Callithrix jacchus: one gene and its partner. The protein of the gene in region 1 binds, or shares a complex with, the protein of each later gene. Links are inferred from orthologs where the notes say so. Each region holds a gene or a part of one and is shown in the gene's direction. Other genes may lie near its edges.

What was found.
Region 2: PPP4R1 (region 1) and PPP4C share a complex: the UniProt entries of both Homo sapiens proteins name them as parts of the PP4 complex. The link is inferred for Callithrix jacchus from reciprocal best matches to the Homo sapiens genes PPP4R1 and PPP4C.

The regions. Positions count from the first base shown.
Region 1 is NC_133514.1:53,315,245-53,319,604, forward strand, and holds the start of PPP4R1 (serine/threonine-protein phosphatase 4 regulatory subunit 1), read left to right. Parts: upstream 1-1,487; 5' UTR 1,488-1,517; coding exon 1,518-1,680; intron 1,681-2,121; exon of another isoform or gene 2,122-2,200; coding exon of another isoform or gene 2,201-2,207; intron 2,208-2,412; coding exon 2,413-2,457; intron 2,458-4,360. UniProt on the Homo sapiens protein: Regulatory subunit of serine/threonine-protein phosphatase 4. May play a role in regulation of cell division in renal glomeruli. The PPP4C-PPP4R1 PP4 complex may play a role in dephosphorylation and regulation of HDAC3.
Region 2 is NC_133513.1:29,442,987-29,447,278, reverse strand, and holds the start of PPP4C (serine/threonine-protein phosphatase 4 catalytic subunit), read left to right. Parts: upstream 1-1,314; 5' UTR 1,315-1,399; intron 1,400-1,624; 5' UTR 1,625-1,688; coding exon 1,689-1,786; intron 1,787-4,292. UniProt on the Homo sapiens protein: Protein phosphatase that is involved in many processes such as microtubule organization at centrosomes, maturation of spliceosomal snRNPs, apoptosis, DNA repair, tumor necrosis factor (TNF)-alpha signaling, activation of c-Jun N-terminal kinase MAPK8, regulation of histone acetylation, DNA damage checkpoint signaling, NF-kappa-B activation and cell migration.

The DNA.
Region 1 (4,360 bases):
ATTGTAAGTCTAATTCGACTGTATAGATCAAGAGTTTTCTTTGTCTTCATGCATCCATTGGCTGAAGCACAGTTGGCACTCTGTAGATTTTGTGTTGTTGCAGTGAGATCACCAGTTAGTATAAAGGGCTGATTTGGGCCACATTTGGTGGCTTACACCTGTAATCCTGGCGCTTTGGGAGACCAAGGCTGGAGGATTGCTCGAGACCAGGAGTTCAAGACCTGCCTGGGCAAAATAGTAGAATCACGTCCCTACAAAAATTTTTTTAAAAATTTAAAAAATTAGCCAGGTGGAATGGTCTGCGCTTTTAGTTCCATTTACTTGGGAGGCTGAGATTGCAGGATCTTTCAAGCCCAGGGCTTCCAGGTTACAGTGAGTCATGACTGTGCCACTGCATTCCAGCCTGGGCTACAAGGCAAAATTCTGCCTCTAAAAAAATTTTTTTTAATGAAAAAAAAAGAGCTGATTTGACTCTTTCTTCTCCCATTTACCCAGAATTGCTAAAGTGGTAGATACTGATGAGGTAGCTCAGCAGGACAGAACTCTCAGGGGTTGAGTCAATCTAGAGACGGATTTCTGTTGATAGTTGTGAATTTCTAACTCCTTTGTCATTCTGAGAGTGTCAGCTAAATTCACAGGACATTCAGCAAAGGAGGAAGATAAATGGCTTTTAGTTTTAATTATTTTATAGTTGAGAAAATTAGATACACACTTCGAGTTATTGGGTCTGATTTTTATTACACCTAGAAATTTCATACAGACTATATAAACTGTCTTTCTCTCTTGTTAGTAGTATCTGATAGGGATTTTTTTTTGGACTAGCTATGTGTAGAACCCATATTATTATACCGATTTAGGAATCTTAGAGGATCTGATTCTTAATGTCCGAATCTTCAATGGCATTAAATGCCAATACATTGTCCTTGGTCAAGACTACAAGGCAAAAAGGAACAAGCTAATTAACTATTTAGAATTCCCTCTTCTAAGAGACCATACGGCCAAAGTGGCATCATGACACAGCTTGGTGTTTTGTTGGTCACTTTAGGAGACCACCATTTTGGAGGCCTTGGGTAGAGCTGGAGACAGAGCCATGGAGGTAGAATCGTGTCGGAAAACCTGGGTTTAGCCCCACTTTGTACTTGGGCGCTTGAGCTAATCGCTTAAGTCATGCAAAACAACAAGACTAATAAAGTCTGGGATACAGACTTGAACACCTCAAGTGCTGCCAAAAGTATTTAAAAGACAAAAGCGAATCATAGGCGCCTTTCCCCAAGCACCTCCTAGACCTTAAGAACCGTGCTAGGTTCCCTACATTCTTCGTTTAATGCCAATAACCCCACGAGGCAGATATCAGCTTCATTCTCCACATGGGTCCCAGTCCCATTAACTAACTGGCTGAATCAGGATCTGATTCAGGTGGATTACCCTCCATGTCAGCTCGGGTTAGCAGGACGTGGGAGTAAAAACCCGGCGCCCCAGCCTTCAGCGTGCTGCACGAGGAAGCTTGCTGGGCAGGCATGACTTTGTCACTCAACCACCCCGCAGCCGGACCCTGGGCTTTGTTAGCAGCCACTTGGCGAGGGCTCCGGGCGGTTGGGGAGGCGGCGCTTCCTCCAAACGGAGGTGGGACCCCGGCCCCGCCGACCTCGGAGCCGCCCCCGGCCCCGGATCGCCGACGACGTACGTGCAGGCCTGGGGATGGGGCGCGGGCGGCCAGCGGCGCGCCCGCCGAGAAGGCTGCGGCCAGCGGGGCGGTGGGCGAGGCCGGTGACCCAATAAAGCGGCCAGGCAGCGGGAGGCCCCACCCGGCCGGGTTCCGGCACTCGCCGCAGGGTCCCGGCCGGCTGCAGCTTGTGCGCCCCTGTCCGCAGCGCTCGGAGTGAGGGCGGCTCGGGCCGAGGGTGTGAGGGCGCGCCGCCCGGCCGGGAGCTGGGAAAGCGGGAGGCGGGAGCACCGGCCACCCGGGAGCCACGCGGAGGGGCCGGCGGGGCGAGGCGCGGCCTGGGGACCCGGCGTCCCCGAGCCGCACCGCCCGCTGCAGGCCCGGGCCCTTGGCCCGCCCCGCGCGCGCGCGCCCCCGCCAGCCCGGCCCTCCTCCTCCCCGCCGCCCCTCCCGCGCGCGTCCACCGGTTACCCGGCTCGCGCCGCTCCATGTAGCCCCGGATCCCCGGGCGGCCGCGGAGGAGGGGGCGACCACAAGATGGCGGGTACGTGGCCCCCTGTTCTCCGTGCGGCGGCGGCGGCTCCCCGCGCCCACCCGTCCTCCGCTGCTGCCCTGAGTGGCGGCCGGGCCGGGGCCGGCGCGGGGTCCTGGCGCGGGGAGGCGCCGCCGGGGCGGGAGGGAGGGCGGCGGGGGCGTCGCGCCGGGCCCCGGGGCGCTGACCGGGCCTTTCTTCTCTCCCCTTGGCGCAGACCTCTCGCTGCTCCAGGAGGACCTGCAGGAGGACGCGGACGGATGTGAGTGGCCCGGCCTCGCGGTGGCCCGGCAGCCCGCGGGGAGCGGTCGGGGAGGGCGGGCGGCGGCGCGGCCTGGGTAGACTAAGGGGACGCTGGGCGAGGGCGGCCCTGGGCGGGCCGGGGTGGCGATTTGGGGGGAAAATCGCGCGTCCGTGAGGAAACGGCGCGCCCTGGTTCCGCTGGGGGAGGGAGACGCCCCGAGTAACGCCCAAGTTAGCTTTCCGCCCTTCCTTCTCCTGGCGACCCCGAATCGCCCGTGGGCTCCGCAGTGGCTAGGCCGCCTGTTTCGGAAGGAGAAGCAGGTGGGGCAAGATTTGAAGTGGGGTTTGGGGTGTGTTTCTGCCCCTGGTGTTCCCCTTGCCCCGTCACTTTAGGAAGGAAGAGACTCGCGCGGGAGGTGTGTTTCCTTGGAGTCGCTCTCCAGGAGCTCCCGGGGGCAGCCTGGGTCCCGGCTAGCCGTCTGGGCTCCCCGACCCCGTTTTGGATCCTCTGAGGATGACATACCTGTCATTTTACTTTGGCTTGTGGCAGTTTTTAGATTACTCCCGGTTTGATTTGTGGATTACAGAAAGGTTAGAAGGTGTGGCCTCATCAGGAATTACTAGGTTTGGAGAGCACATTTCTTTAATGCAGATGTTCAGAAATCACCCAATCCTCCATCAGTGTTAACAGTGCAGCTTTCCTTTGAGGTACTGAAGTTTTTAGAGTTGACCCTTTTATTTTTTAAAACACAAAGTTTTTGACGTTGTTTCCTGATGGCGACGGAATTGATACTTAGAAAGGAATTTTTCTTCTTATATGTACTTTTCTAAGCCTCAGAAAATAACTTGAGTCACGACAGGAAAGACAAAGAATTAGGTAAATTTGTATTGAAAGAAGTGACAAATTGCAGTTAATTTAAAATAGTTTCTATTCATGCTAATCTTACAAAATAGTGATCCATCAAAAAAATCACTCGGTTTTGAGATGCGTTTTAAAAATGAAGAGTGGGCAAAATGTGTAAGCGTAGATCTTGAGATACATAAGGGACCAATTCTACTATGGTTACACAGTAGAATTGTGGTCTGTTTAGTGGAACGCCTACTGGATGCTGTGACTGTGTAATACCTGTGTAAGTAATTCAGAGATGGCTGCAGTTTGAAAGTACTCTCTTAAATACTCTGTAGTTAATCCTTAGCATTGTCTAATGTGGTTCCCTTACTCAGAGTAATCTCAATTTTTAGACTCCTGGTTGTTTTGAGTAAAGTAAGGGGGATTTGCTGTTTAGATGGATTATCTGAAATGAGTAATTTGTCTTTAAAGTAAATGAACCGCATCCAAACTTTTGCCAAGTCTGTATTTTTAGTAGGGTGGCTCTAAACAGCTTTCTTAAAGGGAGCAATACTCATGTAGTGAAGGGCAGCTTTAACATTTTGTTTAATGTTTACTCTTAGGCCACTTCTCTGCCTAATAGTAAGTTTCAGATATTATTTAAGGCAGCTATTGACTTCAGATCTCTTGCCGGGTTAGGATTGGAGAAGTGGCCTTGATTGTGTTATCTCGAGGAGGGCTTTTTATATTTATGTTCGACTTTGTAAATAGAAGATTCATTCATTCAGGAAGTATTTATGACTGTGTGGAGCAAACACTTTTTACTCCTGAAGGGTGAAATGCAGTGTCAGTTTCTTCCATGGCCCCCAAGAAGCACAGTGTAGAGGGGAAGGCATACCTGTGAAAAATTCAACCATGAGTTTAAAGACTCTGCCGGGTACTGGTGATGGAGCTGTAGAAGGATGGGCACAACCCATGCCCTCTAGTGGTTTACTAGCAATCTGAATCTAGGTGTACAGTACACTATCATAGTTATAGACTGGAGCCAGGCTGCTCTGTTCGTCTTAGCAGTGTCTTTTTGGGCAGACTGGGG
Region 2 (4,292 bases), on another chromosome or scaffold:
TGTCTCGAAAAAAAAAAAAGAAAGAAAGAAAAAGCAACTAAGAAATGTTAAGGGGAACATTTTGGAATCACAGAAATCATGCTGACTGAGATACAGGCTTGGCATAGGAAAGGTGGACTCCAATTTGTTAACTTCTGAAGCTGTCAATGGCAAAGATTTCTCTGAAGGCACCGGAAGAGATTTGAATTGGGCTTCCTTCATCCATTGAACAAGTATTAAGTATTTCTATGTATTAACAAGTATTTCTAAATGCTTACCATGCCAGGCCTTATTCTAAGCACTGGGGCTTCAATATTGAAAAAGACAAAGTTGGATCCTCCAAGGATTGTGGTGTCGGATAAATAACAAAAATGTGTAACTTAAAAAAGTGTAACATAAAGTTACAAGGCCTAGTCCCAGCTCGACTTGTTTCCCTAGCTGAAATGGGGATGACCAGGCGTGGTGACTGAGGCCTGTAATCCAAGCACTTTGGGGGGCCGAAGAGGGAGGATCGCTTGAGCCCAGGAGTTCGAGATTGAAGTTAGCTATGATCGCCCCACTGGACTCCAGCCTGAGCAAGAGAGCAAGACACTATCTCTAATTTAGAAAAAAATAAAAGTTGTGGCCGGTCGCAGTGGTTCACGCGCCCATGAACCCAAAGTAATCCCAGCACTTTGGGAGGCCTAAGCGGAAGGATCACCTGAGGTCAAGAGGTTGAGACCAGCCTAACCAATGTGGAGAAACCCTGTCTCTACTAAAAATACAAAACTAGGCCGGGCATAGTGGCTCACGCCTGTAATCCAAGCACTTTGGAGGCCAAGGCGGGAGGATCACCTGAGGTCGGGAGTTCAGGACCAGCCTGACCAATATGGTGAAACCCCGTCTTAAAAAAAAAAAAGAAAACTAGCCAGGCGTGGTGGCACACATGCCTGTAATCCCAGCTACTCGGGAGGCTGAGGCAGGAGAATCGCTTGAACCCGGGAGGCGGAAGTTGCGGTGAACCTAGATCGCGCCATTGTACTCCAACCTGGGCAACAAGGGCCAAACTCCGTCTCAAAAAGAAAAAAGAAAGTTGTCTAAATTTAAACATTTTTATAAAATGAAATGGGAGGGGACTGGTCTAGGGTTTCTAACAGCCCAACATCACCTGCGGCTGAGCCCACAAACACTTCCGCTGGCCTCCAGCTGCCACCGGATTACTCCCGCTCCTTCCCGATTTCAGACTTGGGAAGTGGTGCCGGGGGCGCGAGGAGGGAGGGTGAGGAGCGTGTATGACGCCACATCCGGCGCGCGGCGGAACTGGCTTCCCTTTGCTTCCGCGGCGGGGCCGGAAGTAGAGGCGGCGGCGGCGGCGGCCCAAAGCGGAGGGAAGTCGGGAGGCAGGAAGCGCCCCATAGCCGGAACCGGAGTCGCAGCGGCGGTAATAATGCGAGACCCCTCTAGGCCACCGTCCTTAGCGCGAACCGTGGGATTCGACGGGAGTTAGTGGGGGTCCGGCCAGGCCGTGGGACGCTGGGGGGGTCCCGGGGCCGATGTGAAGGGAGGCGGGGGTGGGGGTGGGGCCGGGCTGGCCCTAGAATCCAGTTGTCCGCTCCTCGCCCCTCACGGACACTCTAATCCGCGGGCTTGTCTTGGCCTTTCCCAGGAGACCCCTGTGCGGTGCGGAGGGGGCGGTGGCCCCGACTCTGACCCGCGCCGGGGGGTGGGCCATGGCGGAGATCAGCGACCTGGACCGGCAGATCGAGCAGCTGCGTCGCTGCGAGCTCATCAAGGAGAGCGAAGTCAAGGCCCTGTGCGCTAAGGCCAGGTGAGCCCGTTGGCCCCACGGAAGGGAGGCCAAGCCGCCGCCCACGGGTTCTGGCCTGGGGCAAACCCAACTGAGAATTTTGGGCTTGCCCCTTCCTGGAAGCTTTCCCAGAGAGGAACGGGATGGGGCCACTGCGCTCGAGGAAGAGCTAGCCTGCTGGGGGAAGACAGCTGGATAAAGACACTTAAAGTATTAGAAGATGTGTTTCCAGTGGAGTAAGAGTGTTACGTAAAGTACTTAGGAAACCAAGGGAAACAAGCCCATCTGTCTGGGGGACAGAAGCTTCTGGGGGTGGGTGGCGAACTGTGAGACAGGCCTCGAATAAGGAGTTGGTAAAAGAGTCAGCAACAAAACAAAGGTTTAAGACAGGAAGGTTAAAGACGCTGTGATTTATAAAAGTCTGAATTCCAACAACCACCCATAAAGGTTGGCGTATTGTACTCATTTTACAGGTGAGGACTGTCATGTTCAAAGTTACCCACAAGTAAGGAGTGGAGTCTGAAGCCAGTTCTTAGTGTCCTGTCCTTTTTCAGGCCATAATGCAAGAAGGTGGATTTGGATCACTCACATTCAGGATGGGACCCTGAGAAATCGTAGCAAGTAAGCCAGGATAGAATTAAGCATGATATGGCCGGGCGTGGTGGCTCACGCCTATAATCCCAGCACTTTGGGAGGCCGAGGCAGGTGGATCACGAGGTCAAGAGATTGAGACCATCCTGGTCAACAAGATGAAACCCCGTCTCTACTAAAAATACAAACATTGGCTGGGCATGGTGGTGTGCACGCCTGTAGTCCCAGCTACTCGGGAGGCTGAGGCAGGAGAATTGCTTGAACCCAGGAGGCGGAGGTTGCAGTGAGCCGAGATCGTGCCATTGCACTCCAGTCTGGGTAACAACAGTGAAACTCCATCTCAAAAAAAAAAAAAAAAGAATTAAGCATGATAGGAAGGCCAGTTTAAAGTTCTGTGGGAAGTAGGATGACCTAAGGCTCTAGGTTTTGGAGTGTGAGATGGCTCTAGGTTTGAATCTGAACTCTGCCACTTACTAGTTGTGTTAGTGATCTTAAGGTGTCTTTACTTGCAAAGCAGAGTTAATAGTACTTAATAAGATGGTTGTGAAAATTCAGTGAGTTGCTGCTTAAGTTTAGCACAGTGTCTTGGTACAGCATACATGCTTGATAGTCACTAGGTGTTCTATTTCTCTTGGATGAGGGCAACGATGAGATGGGCTAAAGCCATCAGGGAAGGCTACTAAATAGAGGTAGACCTTGAAGGATGAAGATAATTTGGCTAGCTGACAGGCAGGACCAGTGAGGGAAGGGCATTCCAAGCAGGACAAGTGTAGCATTGGAGGCCCTGAGAGTGTGAGGAACAGTCAGGGGTTTAATTAATTACCTGCCTTCTCTGGGGAACTGTGTGATTGTGACTTCTACCAGGCTGGTGAATTGCGGCAGAAGAGCCCGCAGAATTACCCTATGTTTATTGAACTATACACCCACTATTGGCCTGGCCCTGTACTGGCGAAAAAACGTCTATTCGTCTCTTCCTCCCAGCAATCCTGAGAGGTTGGAATCATTTGCTCCATTTTACCGAATAGGAAACCATGACTCGTAGAGGCCTGGTGACTTGACTGAGGTCACCCACTGAGGACATGGCAGAGCTCAGTTCTGAATCTGTGGCCCCCAGGCTTTTTGCTCGGCCCCACCTCACAGACTCCCTGCAGCCAGACAGGGCCTCTGAGGGGATCGTGAGCAGGGTGGGCCTCTTTTTCACCCTGTCTGTGGCTTTTCTCTTTTGCCAGCTGAAGGAAACGTCCCTGACCAGACCTGCCCCACCGTGTTTTTAATTGTCCCCTCTCCCTCAGTCCTGATGGGCATTTTTAGGAACTTAAACCTGTTGTTGTCTGGCACTATTCTTTTCCTCTGAAGTCTTATCTCCTGCGCAGGCCTTGGATCAGTGTGGTGGCGATGGTAGATAATGCTTGGATAGCATGCTGGAGTTTGCAGAATAGGAGGAAGTTATATATTCAGTCTCCATGGCTCCTTGTAACAGCCTAAGGAGTAGGCATGACGGGGCTGAGTACTTAACCCCATTTCGTGGAAGAAGAAACAGCCTCTGAGTAGATAATGTCTTGTCCAACATCGTGCAGCTAGTTGGAGGGGAAGTTAGTTGTGCATGCAGGTTTTTGACTGTGCTCTGTGGTCACTGAGAGCCAGGCGGAGGCATTTAGATTTTCATATGGGGTGTGAGGCAGCAGAGAGCTGTGGAAGGCTAACGGGTGGAGAGTCCTGCCCAGTTGAAACTGAGTGGAGCTAGGAGGTACTAGGCCAAGGCCTGAGTTGGTCACTGTTGTCCTGGGCTCAGTTCTGAAGTGGGGCCAGCTCTGATACCTGACCAAGGCCTCCTGAGGACCCACCAGAGACCCAGGCTGAGGCAGGTAGTGTTAGGAGCACCTGCTTGCCCACAGGGCACAGACATGTAGATGAAACCCATGGAAGCACAGAGGCC